4 linked regions of the Caenorhabditis elegans genome follow. The protein of the gene in region 1 purifies or fractionates together with the protein of each later gene. This does not show direct contact. Each region holds a gene or a part of one and is shown in the gene's direction. Other genes may lie near its edges. The genes, in order: mpst-1, idhg-1, idhg-2 and ttr-48.

Region 1 (3,569 bases):
TTGATCCAAAAACTCCTAATTTATGCTCGATGTTTCTCATCAAATCATTCGTTTTTAAAATAAGAAGCATTTCTCGTGGCATTCGTGCTAGTACTTCACTGATTTGAGGTATCAACGACGAAGCATACATACGAAGCTCATCTTTTTCACTTTCATTCATTTTCGACTTTCCAATTCCACCTGTGACCGACTTCCAAGAACGTCGAGTGACCATGCATGCAAATAGACCGTAGAGTTCCCCAACTCCCATTTGACTTGCAACTTTCTGAAAATATTAGCTTTCACTTAATTATATATTTTAAAATAACTAACGCGGATCTCTTGGAGATCAGGCTTCAGAATTGCCAGCCAAAGATCGGAATACAGTTTACGAATGTGATCACTGATATTCAAGTACAAACCATGATCCAATAGCACAATTTCATATTTTCCATTTCCTAGGCTGTTGATCAGTACATTTCCAGGGTGCGGATCCGAGTGCAAATATCCTTGTAGAAAGATCATTTCAGAAATAGTTTTTCCTATTTTCATACAAACATCATGTGGATCAATATTATTCTTTTTTAGGTATTCCACATCATCAACATGTGCTCCTTCACAAAATTCCATGGTGAGTACTCTCGTTGTAGTCAAATCGTATTTAATCTTTGGAATTCGTAGAAATTTCAGGTGCTTGAAACGTTGAGCTGCTTCATCGGCATTTTTCGCTTCGTGCAGAAAATCAAGTTCATTTGGAAGATTCTTCTTTATTTCGTCCACTAGCCACATAAGACGGAATTCCGGAAAGACTGCATCGGCAACTTTTACTAAGAATTCCATAGTGTTAACATCGGTCCTGCTATTCTTGTAAACTCGTTTATGCTGAACTTTAACTGCAACCGTCTCCCCAGATTCTTTTAGCTTTGCTTTATGAACTTGTGCCAGGCTTGCCGCTCCAACTGGTTTTTCGGAAAATTCCGAAAATAGGTCGCCGACTTTTGCGTTTAATTCTGACTCCACGACGTAAATGACATCCTCCTTGGATGCTTGTGGAGCTTGCGAGGTGAGAATGCTTAATGTTTGAGTGTACTCTGGTGGTATCAAATATTCCATTCCCGAAATGTGTTGTCCAACCTATATTTTCATTTATTTCAATAGAAATTTGAAGTATAATTCAGCTACCTTGATGAAAACACCTCCGTTGACACAGGCCAACTCCAAAAGATGCTCCGCACTTCGCTGGTGACATTTTTTGATTGCATCATCGTATTCAGAAGATGGCTCTGGAAGTCCACGCAATGAAGTTTTGTAGTCAATTACAATTTTCCCTACCTGAAAATTCAGATCGAAATTTTTTGTAAACAGTTTAGTTTAAACAACTTACGGTTGAAGCAGCTCTCCCAAATCTCAGCAGTCCTAATTGTCTTAAGTCTTCAACGGAATCTACCGTGTACGCTGTATAGCCTGCTCCAGCTCCAGTTCCCACAAATAAGACCTTGAAAACGTTTTTAATTAATACGATGCTTTGAAAACTTAAACAACTTACTTTTGTGAGTGGCTTAAACGCCAGTATTTTTCTAATAATCATGACACCGGGCTGAAAATAACTGAAAATGATGGAAATTCATCTCAAAAAATATCGACGCAAGTGCGCTCCATTGATTGCAGAGAGAGTATGTGTATTCTGGAGGTCAGAGACATTTTTGAAAACAGTTTTTATTTTGCAAAACAGTTTTGAAATCAAAGTTCTTGCTGTTTTCAGAATGTTCTTCTTTGCCTTTTTTTCATTTTTAAGTAATTTTTTTCTCAGTAAAAATATAAATCTCTTTAAACGGTTTATGTTCAGTGTCTTTTCGTAAAATATTTTAAAAATTATTAACAATTACAGTAATTATGAGTCTCAAAAAAATAATCGATGTAAAATCAGTTAACACTCTTCTGAAAAAAGGAATTATCAATAAAGAAGGAGTGCGGATCATTGATTGCTCATTTGCTGTGGCGCCGCGTCCAGATTGGAAAGAATTCGAACAAGAGGGTTATGGCGATTTCAAGAATCTCATGGCTGAGCCCAGCCCGTATGTTTATTCAAATTTTAATTTAAAAAAAAACAAAATTTGAAGGTCCCGGAACTTGTACCTGGCTGGACACATTCCGGAAGCTGTGCATGTGGACCTGGACATTGCCACATATCCATCTCGTTATCAAAGATTCCAACAATACCGCGCGGATCTTTTCGAAGAATATGCTCAAATGGTTGGATTGAACAATAAAGAACATTTCATCTTTTACGGAAAAGGAGCATTTGGTGGAATGCTTTTTGCTTCAAAGGTTGCTTGGATTTTCAAATCCTATGGCCATGAAAACATTTCTCTTGTCGATGGAGGATTTGATTCATGGAAAAGAAATGGATTTGAAGTATCTACAGAACTCGTAAAATTGCCTGCAGGAAACTTTAAAGCTGAAGATAATTTCAAAAAATATGTCATCACATTCCAAGAACTCGAAGCTAAAAAAGACGGCGAAGATAAACAGTTTATCGAAAAAACATCAGAAATTAACTTTCTGGACAGCAGAATTCGTGGTCAATTCGATGGAACTCAAGAGACCGGTCTTGATCCACATCTTGTAAACGGCACTAGAATCGCTGGTTTCAAAAATCTACCTAGTGCAGAGCTTCTTGTGAAAGGCGGAAATTTGAAAAGTGAAGAAGAAATCAAGTCATGTAAAAGATAATGAGTTTTCCGATAATCTCAACTTTTCTAATTTAGGGCTCACTCAAAACGGATATGTTGAAAATCAACCGACAATCACATCCTGTAATGCTGGAATTCAAGCAGCACTTTTGGCGTACGTAATCGATGCTGTGAAGCCATCACAGAATCCTCCCCGCGTATATAATGGATCCTTAAAAGAGATGGAGCTTCGAGCACCGAAGAAAATTTCGGAGGGACCACAGCATTTGCCTCATTAATGTTTAGTTTTGTAGGATTTTTCTTTTATTCAATTTTCATAGATAGATATTGTTGTTATTTTGTTTCTTACTTCATAAAATTTTGGAATAATTTTATTCATTTTTCCTTTTAAATGGTTACTTGACTACCATTCAGACTATTTAGTTGAAAAATCTCGAACATCAGAAACCACTGATATCGAAAAATGATTTTTCATCTTCATTGTGTGATAAGAATTTCAGTTCATAACTTTTGAAAATTGTTCTTCACTTTTATCGTTAAAGTATGAAAAACTTCGAAATTGTCACCGTTACCCCGGATCATGCCGAACAACTCATTTCAATGATTCATGTAGGTTTATTTCTTCTTCTTTATTTGAAAAGAAAATAAACATTTGCAGGAGCTCGCGGAGTTTGAAAAAATGAAGAGCAGCGTGGTGAATACTGCCGAGAAATTGAGAAAAGATATTGAAAACAAGGCAGTGCATGGTACGATTTTGATTTTTAATTGATCATAAATCGAAATTTAGGATTCATTGCATTTATCGGAGAGGAGCCAGCTGGAATGAACCTTTTTTACTATGCATATTCAACATGGGTTGGGCAGGTATTTATGAAACAGTACTGAAATTCAACCAAA
Region 2 (5,151 bases), on another chromosome or scaffold:
TATCCGCTATCTCATCAACTAATGCCACGTGAACCATCACAAGTGGGTTCCGGGGAAGAGCTTCGTGGGAAAAATAGAAACATCTGAGAAAATGAAATTTTAGTTTTTTATTTTTATTTCATAATTACCGTCTCAACGGACCAAGACGTTTTCTGAAATCTGAAAGTCCTCTAACTGGATGAACTGCCTCATATTCGGCGACTTTCTGTAGAATATCTCCAGGAGATGACCACGTAAGTCGTTCCAATTTTAGATTTCCTAAAGAAAACCATGAAGTTAATACTTCTCTAGTGGCCAGTTCAATGTGACGGAGATATGATGTTGTAGTTTTGTCAGTTTCCCGTTTTAGAAGTGCCTGAAAATAATTATATATTCGATGCTAATTTTATTTTAATTTTAATACCAAAATATTAGCCCTCATTTCACAGACTTGCATAACTCCTCCCGGTAAATTTCCAATTGATTTTATCAAATTCACATAAGAAGCTGTTGCTGATGTTCTTACTTCCGGGTACATTTGATCATTCTGAACTTTACAATTTTTGGTCATACGATGTCAATGATAATAACCAACCTTAGAATATAGAGAAATCGCATGATTTAGGGCTTCTTTGTTTACACCATAGTTTGTGACGAGATCTACGAAAATCGATTTTCGAGTTTCTGGCGTGGAATTGGCATATAATTTGGAAAACTTCTCGCTATAAGTCTGAAAAATAAAATTTTTTCAAATAATTGGAAAATATAGTTCAACTTACGAGTAACTTATCTCCACTTGTTCGATTTGTGAGTCCGTCTAAAGTAGATAATAATGTGGAAGAATATCGAATCGAGTAAAAATGTGAATATCGACGAAGCATTATTTACATCAACCTACAAAATAATTATCTATGGGGGAAAATAACAGTTTCATAGCGCGAAACATTCTCGAAACAGTCCGGGAGCATGTAAATCAGCAAAACGAACAAATAAAAAGATAATCAAGTAACAGTTAACGTTTTAAATAGTAGTTAATAAAATAATAAAGACTTTGTAACTTCAGCCAAAACTATTTCTTGGATACCGATTTCTGTATAAGAAATAGACGCTATTTTTGGAAAAAGGCGTGCCAGGTTCTACATGAAACAACTATTTCAAAGAGTTTTCAATGAAACAAACTTTAAAGAACAATCCTAAGACATTTATTTCTACACAAAAATCACTAATAGATCACCTGATAAGCGCTTGAGACAACCAACAAAACAAAACAACGAAGCAACAACAATTCGGCGGCGAAAATCAATCAAGCGCCAACTGCTGTTCGAATTCCCGGATTTCCCCGGCAGTTGGCTTGAATTGCAATCTAGACTAGAAGTAAACACAAACCAATGAACCCTCAAATAGAGAGAAAAAGCAAAAATATTTGAAATAGATAGAAATGAACGAAAATGGACAAAATAAACATAAAAGACGAAAATGAAAATGTCGCGCGGCGGAATTGCGAGAAACACGTGCGGCGCTTGCAAATCAATCGGTCGGCTCGTTCCGCCCTCTTTTTTTGTGCATATAATTTCTGAAAATTATCTGTTTAGTGATAAATCTGAGTTTTCATAATGATAATGATGATATCGGGAAGATTTAATGTTTTTTGTTAAAGTTTTGAAATATACTATACCCTTCTATTTAAAAAATTGGCTACTATTCTGACATGCACTTTTAAAAGTACATTTTTAAACTGTTGTTTTTCTAGTAAATTCCATTTTTTTAACATTTCAGGTAAAAACAAGATGTCGAGCAACGTCCTCGGTCATACACTTCGCTCTTCGAAGAATGTCGTGCAAAAGGCGTTCGTCGCGACTTCACCGAACTCCGATATGCTCCGATTCCGTTCTCCAGTTCTTCAAACTAACACAGTAAGTAATTCATTTTTATCTGCTATTAATATCAATTTTCAGACTAAGCTGGCTCGTTATGGAGGACGTCACAACGTCACAGTCTTGCCAGGAGATGGAATTGGACCAGAAATGCTCCATCATGTCGAGAGAATCCTTTCAGCAGTTCAAGCTCCAGTAGATTTCGAAGTGGTTAATTTGACCTCAAAGGAAGATGCATCTGAAGATCTTGCTGAGGCTATCACTGCTATCAAGAGAAATGGTGTTGCTTTGAAGGTATTTTTGTTGAAAGATTAAAATCAAATTTAATTTTTTTTTTTTGAAGGGAAACATTGAAACTAAGTTTGATAACCCAAGCTTCGTTTCCCGAAACTTGGAACTTCGTCGTCAACTCAATCTTTACGCAAACGTTCTTCACTGTTCCACTATTCCAACTGTTCCAAGCAGACACACTGTAAGAATTTTTTTAAATCGATTTGTACAAATTTCAAATGAAAAGCTTTAGGGAATCGATATGGTTATCATCCGTGAGAATACTGAAGGCGAGTACTCTGGAAATGAGCACGAAGCCGTTAATGCTCCACATCCTCGTGTTGTCGAATCTTTGAAGGTTGGGATTATCAACTGAGATTTAGTCCTAATTTCAAATTTAAAGGTTGTTACTCGCGAAAAATCGGAACAAATTACTCGTTTTGCATTCCAATTCGCAAAGAAATATGGAAGAAAGAAGGTTACTGCTGTTCACAAGGCCAACATTCAAAAGTTGGGAGACGGTCTTTTCCTTAAAGTAGCCACTGATATCGCCAAGGCCGAGTATCCAGATATTGAATTCAATGCTATGATTGTCGATAATGCTTCCATGCAGTTGGTGGGTTGTTTATTTATTCATCAAAATAAATGTTCTGAAAAAAGACGAATAATTAAAAATCCTTATTTATTTCCAGGTTTCACGCCCACAACAATTCGATGTTATGTTAATGCCAAATCTCTATGGAAACATCATTTCAAACATTGCTTGTGGACTCGTCGGAGGTCCAGGACTTGTTTCTGGAATGAACATTGGAGAAGATTACGCCGTCTTTGAAACAGTTAGCATATTGATGAAAATATTAAATAACATTTGTTTTTTTCAGGGAACCCGTAACACCGGAACCACTCTTGCTGGAAAAGATCTTGCCAATCCAACTGCGTTCATCCGTGCCGCCGTTGATATGCTTCGTTTCCTCGGACTTCAATCACACGCCGATATGATCTCCGATTCATTGTTCCGTACGCTTGTTGATAAGAGAATTCACACCGCTGATATTGGAGGAACTTCTAAGGTAAGAATTTCATTAATTTTCTAAAGTTGTATATATTAAATTCTTACCTTTTCTTTATTTAAAAGTAGAGTAGAGTCGTTTTGGAATTTTGCTCAAGATGATATCCATAAATGGACCGTAATTTAAAAATTTATACAATTTTTCTAATATTTTGCAAAATTAAAAAATAAGATAAGTGTTTCTGAATTTCCGCGCGAATAAGTAGAATAGTTTTTTTGCGTTTTTCGGCTGTACTGAGTGATTACTCTTAATTTTGTTTTTTTAGTATTTGGTATAAAACACACATACATTTTCCGCAAAGAAATTTATGAATTATCGAGTTTTAGGCTAATTTTTGAAATGTTTTCGAATTTATTTCGGTTTATGAAGTTTTCTTTGCGGAAAAAATATTTGAAAAATTGCCGGAAAAGGCAAAAATGTCGGAACTCACATTTTTTATTCTTGCAAAATTGGAAAAATCATAGAAAAAATGTTATAAATTTTTTTACAGTTATTATGGTCCATTTTCGATGATTTTAAGCAAAACTTCAAAACGACTTCACTTTTTAGAACATTAACTTTATAAGTACTTTTTAAAAATGCACTACAAAACTTTAATTTAATAAATTTTCAGTCATCGGAACTCGTTCAATCAGTACTCGACTTCATCGAGAAGGAGCTCGAGGACCGCAACTACCGTGTCTAATTTCTACCTGATAATCGAAAGTTTGAAACATCCCACATAGTGGCTAGCTTTACCCTTACGTTCTTTTCCTCTGTTTTTTTTTCGATTAATCCATGATTCGTAGCATAATGCGTTACTCATTGTGCTCTTTCTCTGTTTGACCCCGTTGACTGAACGTTTCCGCCTGATGTCTCTTATCTTGTTCCTTTCTTCCTCATCTCTGTACCCACAATTTTCTTTGGATTTTAATTTTTTCTGATTGTTTGAATTTTTCTCATTTCCAGTATAGTACAATATTATAAAATTGGTTTAGTGAAATTCGATACTCTGTTAATAATGTTAATATTAGGTTACTGTCACAAAGTTAAGTACTCCCCCCACCAATATGCTCTTAACCTAATTAGTCAATACTTGAGAGCTGCTTGAAAAAAGGCGGAGTTTACTACTGTAGCTACTGTATCTTTTTGAATGCTCCCTAGCTCACTTTAATATTATTCATTTTTTGCCACAACTATTCTATTCTTTATTTCACCAGACTATCTAGGAAATATTGAACTAATACAAATTTTAGTTCAATATACCGGATGGTCTGGTGAAAGCAACATGCGTTGTAAGTTCTTTTTCAAAATCAAATGTCGATCGAACATTTCAATTCGAAATAATTTATTTCGGGTCAGAAAAATTGTACTAAAACTTGCAGAAAAAAAGTTGAAAAAAGAATTAATAAATTACAGAAAATATGCATATGAAACTGGGAGATTGAGTCTATCACAACTACATGCGTGGGTGGATACCAAAATATGAAAATTACAAGGAAAGCATATTCCATATTATACATATCATAAGTACATTGGCGGGAAAATACCAAAAGAAAATAAATAATTGAGAAAATAAGTGATTCTAAATTTGACACAACGACAACTTTGGGGGGAGGGTGAATTGCAAATCACTAAAAAGAACAAATTGTGTAATATATAAAAAGAAATATGAAAAATTCCAGTTTACAAGTCGGTTGGATCATCATGATCTTCCGGTTGGAAGGATGTATTCACAAATGATGCATTTTTGCCAGTCAGTGACGATTTTTTATCTTCTGAAACAGTAAATTTTAATTTTAAATAAAACATTAGTTTTTCTATACGGAAGGGTCGTCGTAAATTATTCTGTTTAAAAAAACCAAAAATTTCAGTTTCTTTTTGAAACAAACTTTAAAATTTTGGTCAGTTTTATTTTTTTAGCGATCGGAAATTTTTTAAAAGAAAAGATCGAAACTTTATTACTTTATTTACAAACA
Region 3 (4,999 bases), on another chromosome or scaffold:
TCGACCTTCGAAGTTATCATGTAAATCAGCTATTTATAATATTTTCGTTTCTGACTATCAAAATCATCTCGTTGCACTTTAAAAATAATCAGCAAAAATGACTAACCTTTCTCAATCGATCTTGTTTTCGCATGATGATTCCTTTTCGACATTTCGGACAGACGAGTGCACCCACACCTCCTCCGGGAGATCCACCAATTTGTGGAGACTGGTTAACGCACAGAGTTATAGCTGAAATTTTAAGATAAATAAAAGAAGAAGTGGAAATTTCTACTTTTTGATGATTAAAAAAAGGTGAATGGCAACTTGAAATTATGAATAAAAATAAATTTGTCTAGACTAGGTCTCACAAATTGGACATCCGGTTTTTTGAGTTCTAATTTTGTGTTCGAGCGCTTTTTTTCTCGATGTCTGAGACTGGATTTCAATAAAAAACAAGGAGTATCGAGTATTTTATAAAAATGAAGTTTCGCCGAAACATATATATATATCTTGTATAATTTTTTTATAATTTTTAATATTACTTATCGAATATACCTGGCGACGCCTGCTGTTGCGGTGGGGCTTGGACAGGCGGTTGAGGTGAGACAAGCTGCACTGGATTGGCCATTTGAGCCATCTGAGTCATCATCATCTGTGGTCCTGCAGTTGTCATGATCGGTTGCTGCATAACAATTTGCTGAGGCATCATTTGAGCCATTTGGGGCATCATGTACTGCTGTTGAACCATTGGCATTGAAACTGGAACCATTTGAGGCTGTGGTTGAATTGGTGGAGCAGATGGAACTGATGGATAGACTTGAGATGAATAATATGGTGGCGGTTGTTGTTGAGAATATTGAGAAATCCTGTAAATTGTGAATTTATTCCAATGAATTTTCTTTCTTCAACTCACTCTGGTCTGATATGTTGCCGCATAACCTCCACTCTTCGTGGAGAAATGTACTTGACAGTTTCGGGCCCCAAAAATTGAACTCTTCCATCAGGCGTGAGTGGGGGCTCTTCATCTGAAAATTAGGTGTTTAAAATTTTTAGATTATTTTATAAAATAACTTACAGACGTAATCAGTCGGATTAATTGTCATCTTGAGCAACGATTTTCCGATTGAAAACAGATGAGAAAATAAAAAAAAATAATTCCTCGAATCTCAGTCTGTGAGAAGTGCGTCGATGTGTTTGCGTACTTTGATTGCATACCGTAGTTCACTATAAAAATTGCAAACGAACATTTCCAATAATATTATTTTTATTTAAAAAAAAGTTTAAAAGTGTCAAGCAATCTTAAAACTTGAGAAGAACTGTATAAGTTTTTTAAAATAAAATCGGAAGTATAGAAATATCGTGATTTCGCGAAGTTTTGACATGTCAGTTTAAAGGCACTGCCAATGTTTCGAGTGGGTCTCGCCACGATCTCAGTAATTGTTGTCATTACAGGTGCCAAGTTATACAGGAGAATTCATTTCATGTAGAAAATTAAGTCTATGAAGTTTCAAATTTTGAAGTGGCCAGAGAAAACTAGGATTAATCCCGAAAAATTTAGCACCTAGCGAAACATTTCCCGCACCGGAGTATGATTTAAAACTCTTCGTTTCCAAATAAAGAAATTTCTATCTTCTCACACACTGAAGTCATATCGTTTTTTTTCCACTAGTGACAAAACTTTCAATTCGTCTAATATTTTTTATTACAACTCCCCATTTATGTCTCATCAATTTTCAGTCAAAACTCTGAAATTTTGACCACATTCAACACGTGTCAGGGTGTTCTTGCACCTGAATTGAGCCGCACTTCCCTATCTTTTTCAATTTTCTCTGCCAAACTTTTCTTTTCTTTCTTGATAAGCCGAACAAATGTGTGTGTGCCTGCCAAGTTGTTTACCACGTTAGAGATAAGAGAGATGTAGAGACGCAGATGTTCATGAAAACGCCCGTCTTTTTGTTCCCGGGACCCTGAGCATTGGAGAATCCCATGCTACATTTAATCGATACCTTTTTTCTCAAATTAAATATTCTATAGCTACATACATATTGTCTCAAATTTTGAAATACTAGACAGTCTCTAGCAAAAAAATTTACGAATTTGAGATATTTTAAGTTCTTCTTAACTTCCTAATCGAATTCCTAACTGACAATGAATCAATAACGAAGCTTTTATAACTAAAGAACAAAAATTTAAGAATGTTCTCAAAACTTCCGATTCAAGCGGTTCGTGGAGCTGCCTCTGCAATCCGTACCCATCAAATTCCAGGTCACAGAGTAAGAGTTATCTTATCAGAAAATTAAAATTATAAAATAAAATGTAGCAAAATGCAATTCTTCCAAAAACCATAATATAATCACTTTTTCAGCTCCCACTAGCAAAATATGGTGGTCGACATACAGTTTGTGCCCTTCCTGGAGATGGAATTGGCCCCGAGATGATTGCCCATATCAGAAATATTTTCTCGTTTTGTCATGTAGGTTCCCATGCTTGAAAATATAAAGTCTACTATGCACATTTGGGTACTTGTGTATTATACCCCCGCCATTGTAAAAATTAATCAAATTTCCATTAATTTATTTGTTTAAATTAAACGTGATACCCATTTTCCTTATTAGGCTTCGGAGTGCTGTTTTCCTAAGCCTAAAATTCCACACATTTTTATTTTATAAGGTAAAAAATTAATGTTTAATGGCGGGGGTATCATACACAAGTACCCACATTTGAATTTAAGCTTGCTTCTTCAAGAATGTGAAAGTTCTAAAAACCATATTCAAGTTATCATTTTAAAGTCACGTTAAACTGGATTTACAATATACCGTAACCGTGTTTGGGTTTAAAACACACAATATTTAATTTCAATATTCTTCACTGCTCATAAGCTTTTTTAGTATCGTTTTTCTTCTATTAGTTTTGGATTTTATTGCTCAACTTTGATTGCTCGTATCTCGACTCTTTTTGATTTTTTTAAAAAGTTGGTAGAATACAAGTTAATCGTAATCCTTTTTCACATGTTGAGAACTACCAAAATGGATAAGGTGAAGCAAAAAAAAGAGACAGATGTTAATTTTAGGCTCCAGTCAACTTTGAAGAAGTGCAAGTCTCATCGTCGCTTTTGGATGGAGACATGGATGCTGCTATGCTGGCAATTGAAAGAAATGGTGTTGCTATAAAGGTAATGAATTAAATAAAATTAGTGAAATACCTGCTTGTTCAATTGTAAAAAAAAGTACCTCTGTTTTTTTGAATTGAATTAAAAATTTGCATTAGTTTAATGTCAAAATATAAATATTACAACTAATGTATATAAAATAATTTCAGGGAAACATTGAAACAAAACACGACGATCCACAATTCAACTCTCGTAACGTTGAACTCAGAACTAAATTGGATCTCTATGCCAATATTCTTCACTGTGTCACAATTCCAACAGTACCTACCAGACATTCTGTAAGTAAACTTACCAATTTGTTTCAGTTGGAGAGTTTAAAAAAATTGTATTCAATTGTTAAAACTTCTTATTTTTAAGGGAATTGATATTGTTCTTATACGTGAAAATACGGAAGGAGAATACTCTGGATTAGAACATGAAGCAGTTCCAGGAATCGTAGAAAGCATTAAAGTGAGTTCAAATTCCTACTTTCCTGTATTTTCAGTTAAATAAATACTTTGAGATCGTCACCCGTGAGAAAATTGAGAGAATCTCAAGAATGGCATTTGAATATGCAAAAGCAAATGGAAGAAAGAAGGTTACAGCTGTTCATAAAGCTAATATTCAGAAACTTGGAGATGGACTTTTCCTAAAGGTGTGTTTTTAACGTTTCAATTTAAGGCCTAAAATAATGAATATTAAATGATATTTCAGGTTGTTCGGGACATGTCAGAAGATTATAAGGATATCAAATTTGAAGCAATGATTGTGGATAATGCCTCAATGCAACTTGTCTCTAAACCTCAACAGTTCGATGTAATGGTTATGCCAAATCTTTATGGAAATATCATTTCGAACATTGCATGTGGCCTTGTCGGTGGACCTGGATTAGTGTCTGGAATGAATCTTGGAGATAAATATGCTGTTTTTGAAACAGGAACTCGTAATACTGGAACTTCTCTTGCTGGAAAAGATATTGCCAATCCAACTGCGTTCATTCGAGCATCTGTTGATATGTTGAGATATTTGGGATGCCATTATCACGCTAATATTATTTCCGATGCATTGTGGAAGGCTCTTGTTGAACAAAGAATTCACACTGCTGATATTGGAGGAAATAATTCGGTAAGTAAAATTAAATAGTTTCCAAAAAAAAACCTAAACCATTGTTACAGGCCAGTGATGTTATCAACGCAACTCTTCAGAACATCAAAGTTTTGATGGACGAGAACCCAAAACATTGATGAAATTTCTCGTGCTTTGATATAATTTTAATTTTCTGGATTTTAATATTTCGTGTCAGGTTTTTATGTTTTTCAACTATACTTTTGTAAATAAATAAAAATATTGAAATTGATTTGTGGGTTTATAAAACTTAATGAAAAACGCAATTCTGAAAAACACGAATTTTCAATTTTAGAATATCCCCTGTTCATATTTCATCCAAAAATTAGAGCCCCATGACCAATCAGACAGGGCAAAGGAAATTCAAACAGAGAAATGAACCAAAATTTGAAACGTAGATTAAATTTTGAAAATTTTTGTATCTGATCTTTATTCTCCTTGGACAGTACACCACATCATTTCTCATTGTAACAATTGTTTTCTGAAGCTTATGAACCCAGAGAAAGAGCCTGTAGTGTTGACCATTCAGATTAACGATTCAACGACAAATGAAATACAAATAGAACAGAAAAGAAGGGACGGAGACGAATCGGTTCAACATCAATAGTCAGTCAATGTTTTCCTCTGTTAAAGCTCTCCATTTCAAAAGTTTATAGAAAATAATTTTTACAATTCTGAAGCTATTTCAAAAAATTTTTTGCGAATACAAATTAAGGCTCAAACTAATTATTATTAGTTGAATAA
Region 4 (3,851 bases), on another chromosome or scaffold:
ACTTGTTCACTCTCAAGTTCACTCTCTGTCCACATTTTCCTTATTCATTACCTCAACATTTTGCGTCATTACGGTAATCAAGAGCGTTCAAAGCAGTTCAAGCAGTTTTTTTTTCAAATCTCTGCATTCTTTCTTCAAAATTCAAGCATAACATTTTCGATTGCACACATAATTTCTCATTTTCCCCCCATTCCGGTTGACTGTTCTATTGCCCGGTTTCTCGTCTGATAGCAGTATGTTGCATTTACAACTCTTTTATTCGCTTTTCAAATACCATATGCTCAGGTTTTTTGTCCCGCTGTTTCTTTTTTCTTTCTGATTCGCACGTTTGATTTCTCGGATCCCGTAGAACTTTCTAGCCTAATAAAATTATTTTTTTTTGATGTGCTCCACACAATTGAGCAGCTTCTCAGATGCGGTTAGTAACTCGATTTTCATGGTCTTTTCTGCCATTCACCCTCACCTAATTTCACAGCTTCTCTCGTTTTGACTAGTCATCAAAACGAATACACACCATTCTTTTTGTACGCTGAAAGTTCATGTTTTTCTCAGAGTGTTTTTGCCTTTTTGTGTATCTATGATAATTGTACGTTCCGGTGAGATTTCTAGGTTGTTCATCTCATTCTTTCCCGATAATTGCTTGAAACCCACCGACACACTCCGTTTGAATATTCACCTCCCCATTCTTCCTGGTGCATAGTTACGATATATTCAATTGGAACTGCTGGTTTCGATTTTTAAAACCCGGAGCTTTTCTTCTGATAGGGTCAATTTTTGTATGTAACTTTTCGAGAACAGTTTTATTTTTTCGCATAATTTTTTGATAAATATTGAACACTTTCAACATTTTCCAGAAAAATTTAATTTCAGATACAGGTATTTTTTGTGAATTTTCATCAAAATTTAAGTGGAGTCACCACAAGTTAGGTGTGGTATGGTTTTGTAAAAATTTGTTTTAAAAATAATTAAAAGTGTTGTATGTTGTATAAATGTTGTTTTTTTTTTGGAAGTCGCCTATCAAAAAATTGTTTGAATAGGTTGGCTATGACATTTGGTCATTTTTGCATCATAGCTGGCACCATGGTTTTTTAAAAATGTCGCAGCGTCTAGAAACTAATTTTTGTCGTCCAATTTTGGTTACAACATTTTGGGTATAACTCTGCGACATTGACAAGTCGGTCAAATTTCAAATTATTCTAATTTTAGGCTATTTTTTGAGCTGTAATAACTATTTTTAATAGTTTTCAAGAAGTTTCATTATGAAATTCGGTGTTTTCAGACAATTTTAAATATAATAAACAAATAAAAGAAATTCGACTACACCACCTTTAAAACTCCAAATCACGTCAATAGATGTATTTGTTCTTATTTGTGTTGAACCATATGTTGAATAATCATCAACTGATCATATAATCAATATAAATTGTTTATTTTTCTTTTGAATGAAGAGCCAAAGTGTCCTTATTGTCAATAGCTTCGCGATAAGAGTGATAAGCTAGAATAGTGTTGACCAGTGTTTGGTCTATCAAAACGGTTTAGAAACTTGATAATGAAACTGTACACTGCGACCGTTTCATTTTGATTCTTCCCAAGTGTTTTGGGAAGCGTCGAACATTTTGATCAATATCAATTGGTGTCTACGTGCATCTCTATTGAGAGGTCAGGTGTTCACTGAGCATTTTGTTTTCCGGTATCTTCTTCAATATCCTTTCTATTGATTCATGAATCGCTGAGAAATACGTTTAATTATCACATTTCAGCATGATTTTCATATTTATCGCCGCTCTTCTTTTACCAATTTCATACGTTTCTGCTGGAGCGGATCTTGATGTCCCAACTAACATTGCCAACAGGTAAATTTAATTTTCAATTTTGTAAAAATCAATTTATATTTTTAGAACCATGGCAGTCAAAGGACAACTGTATTGTGGAAAGAAGCCTTTCGAAGGAGCCAAGATCCGACTTTTCAGAACATTTCAACCAAATGCAGCAGATGGTAAGTAAGGTATCAAGTTTTGAGCAAGACCATAATCATGTCAGATCTCGCCGAGCTACTCGACGTAAAGAACACATACATTACGGGAATGTTCCAAGTTGAAGGAGGTACCGCGAGGTTTGTTATTTTTTGCTGAGAAAAGGTTATTTAAAAAGTCAAAAGTTTTCTATTCATGTCTTGCTTATCAATAGTGCCAATAGTGCGTGCATTCGAAATGAAGTGAAGTATGTCAGAATTATCTTGTGCTGAAAACATTATGAGAAGGAAGTTTTACACATTGTTGTAGTGGCATAAATTGGAGAACAGTTTGAAAATACAAGTTCTGAAAGGTGGAGCACGGTCAATGAAAAATAATGGAAACGCATTCATATGACCAAAAACTGACCGAATATCTAAATGAAGTTTTTCAAAAGTTTTGGAATATTTTTTCTAAATAAGCGTAAACTGAGGTTTTACAACTTTTTGACTCGAAATAAATAATTTTCCGAAGTTATTAAAAAACATTTTTTAGCTCCAGAACAATAATGTTTAATCGTTTTCACACTCGCTATTTTTCACCATTACATCGACTGGTTTTAGTATCTTATATAGAAAAAGCAATTCAGACGAACAATTCTAACAATTACAAACTTTTATTTCACTGAATGAATATATTCTTACTCATTTTTTGGGGTCCTTAGAATCTTATCAAAAGTTAAGAGGTTTTTGGGTTTAGAAAAACATTCGGGAAGCTCCTCGATACTTCAAATCTCTACACAAAATATAGAAATTGTGATTCTCATCAAAATTGGAGAGATTTAAGGAAACCAAAGATTTTCAGCAATTTTCGGGACCTCGAAAATAGTGCTAAGTTCAACTGCAACATTTCAGAAATAGCTGATAGCAATTGCCTTGTTTTAAAACCTGGAATTAAGATTAAAATTTTGTTTTTATAAGTTTAACTTTCAGATTCCCACGTACCAAAACCGATATCCAGCCATATGTCACAATTCATCACAACTGCGGAATGGACAATAAGCAAACATCCAATGTAAGTCAAAGACCAGCACTTACGAAACAAAAATCAATTATTTTTATAGTACGGCTACAAACGAATTGGTGTCCGTCTTCCAGAAGATTACGTAACACTCGGAATCAAAGCAAGAAAGGTGTATGACTTTGGAATTCTCAATTTGGAGTTGGAGTTTCCACAAGAGACCCATGATTTGAAGTTCAAATTCACCGATTAAATTTAACTTTTCTTTCACAATTTTTTTCTTCATTATATTTCACATCAAATATTTTGAATTTTATTTAGAAGTTGTTCCCCATGAATGCAATCAGTAAAATTTCTCTTCTCATTTCAAAGCGCTCGCACTCATTTTGTTTTTGTTGTTTGGCACTGGCTGTTGTTCTGTTTTGGAAAACGGATACATCACGCATATCAGATCAGAAAATATGGAGGAAAAGGACGTGGTGTTGAGAAAAATAAAACCACCCAGGTGAGAAAGAGAAGAATCTCACGAAACTTTTCTCATTTGATCTTTGTTCACCGGAGGACAAGCCTTGAAACTGTTCATTTTATGAGAGCTGTTATTGCACGAACCGAAAGAGGGCGGTTTTTGAAAACTGACAATATGGACAGTAAAACTTTTCAGTATTGTTGTGTTCTGTGTTCCGCCGTTTTCGACAACAATTTCCAGTAAGTTTCAATGTTTTGCCGAATTTTCTCTGTATGGAATTTTTATGATACATAATGAATTTTCAAAATGGGGTTGAGCCATTTTTTTAGATAAATAACTGAAACTTTCATACTGTCCAAAAAATTATTATTTTTTGTACACTGAAAAATTTATGCAATACAGTTAGTTTGTGA

What was found.
Region 2: the proteins of mpst-1 (region 1) and idhg-1 fractionate together in Caenorhabditis elegans (co-fractionation; one large-scale study listed by BioGRID). This does not show direct contact.
Region 3: the proteins of mpst-1 (region 1) and idhg-2 fractionate together in Caenorhabditis elegans (co-fractionation; one large-scale study listed by BioGRID). This does not show direct contact.
Region 4: the proteins of mpst-1 (region 1) and ttr-48 fractionate together in Caenorhabditis elegans (co-fractionation; one large-scale study listed by BioGRID). This does not show direct contact.

The regions. Positions count from the first base shown.
Region 1 is NC_003283.11:11,825,366-11,828,934, reverse strand, and holds mpst-1 (Putative thiosulfate sulfurtransferase mpst-1), read left to right. Parts: upstream 1-1,867; 5' UTR 1,868-1,872; coding exon 1,873-2,054; intron 2,055-2,099; coding exon 2,100-2,701; intron 2,702-2,747; coding exon 2,748-2,950; 3' UTR 2,951-3,041; downstream 3,042-3,569. Other genes in the region: D2023.6 (ABC1 atypical kinase-like domain-containing protein), read right to left, coding at 1-265, 313-1,113, 1,162-1,311, 1,364-1,474, 1,526-1,567; D2023.4 (Thialysine N-epsilon-acetyltransferase), read left to right, coding at 3,216-3,281, 3,331-3,418, 3,460-3,536.
Region 2 is NC_003281.10:4,567,258-4,572,408, forward strand, and holds idhg-1 (Isocitrate dehydrogenase [NAD] subunit, mitochondrial), read left to right. Parts: upstream 1-1,755; 5' UTR 1,756-1,766; coding exon 1,767-1,892; intron 1,893-1,934; coding exon 1,935-2,147; intron 2,148-2,196; coding exon 2,197-2,325; intron 2,326-2,376; coding exon 2,377-2,481; intron 2,482-2,526; coding exon 2,527-2,739; intron 2,740-2,815; coding exon 2,816-2,959; intron 2,960-3,004; coding exon 3,005-3,193; intron 3,194-3,806; coding exon 3,807-3,878; 3' UTR 3,879-4,608; downstream 4,609-5,151. Other genes in the region: mlcd-1 (Malonyl-CoA decarboxylase, mitochondrial), read right to left, coding at 1-83, 129-355, 404-526, 575-709, 759-860; Serine/threonine-protein kinase sel-5, read right to left, coding at 4,859-4,950.
Region 3 is NC_003279.8:6,972,585-6,977,583, forward strand, and holds idhg-2 (Isocitrate dehydrogenase [NAD] subunit, mitochondrial), read left to right. Parts: upstream 1-1,973; 5' UTR 1,974-2,177; coding exon 2,178-2,255; intron 2,256-2,347; coding exon 2,348-2,455; intron 2,456-3,052; coding exon 3,053-3,154; intron 3,155-3,300; coding exon 3,301-3,429; intron 3,430-3,508; coding exon 3,509-3,601; intron 3,602-3,653; coding exon 3,654-3,785; intron 3,786-3,844; coding exon 3,845-4,255; intron 4,256-4,305; coding exon 4,306-4,374; 3' UTR 4,375-4,487; downstream 4,488-4,999. Other genes in the region: C30F12.4 (LITAF domain-containing protein), read right to left, coding at 107-231, 538-848, 896-1,007, 1,058-1,085.
Region 4 is NC_003284.9:3,840,358-3,844,208, reverse strand, and holds ttr-48 (Transthyretin-like family protein), read left to right. Parts: upstream 1-1,760; 5' UTR 1,761-1,761; coding exon 1,762-1,853; intron 1,854-1,898; coding exon 1,899-1,996; intron 1,997-2,040; coding exon 2,041-2,113; intron 2,114-2,944; coding exon 2,945-3,026; intron 3,027-3,075; coding exon 3,076-3,225; 3' UTR 3,226-3,340; downstream 3,341-3,851.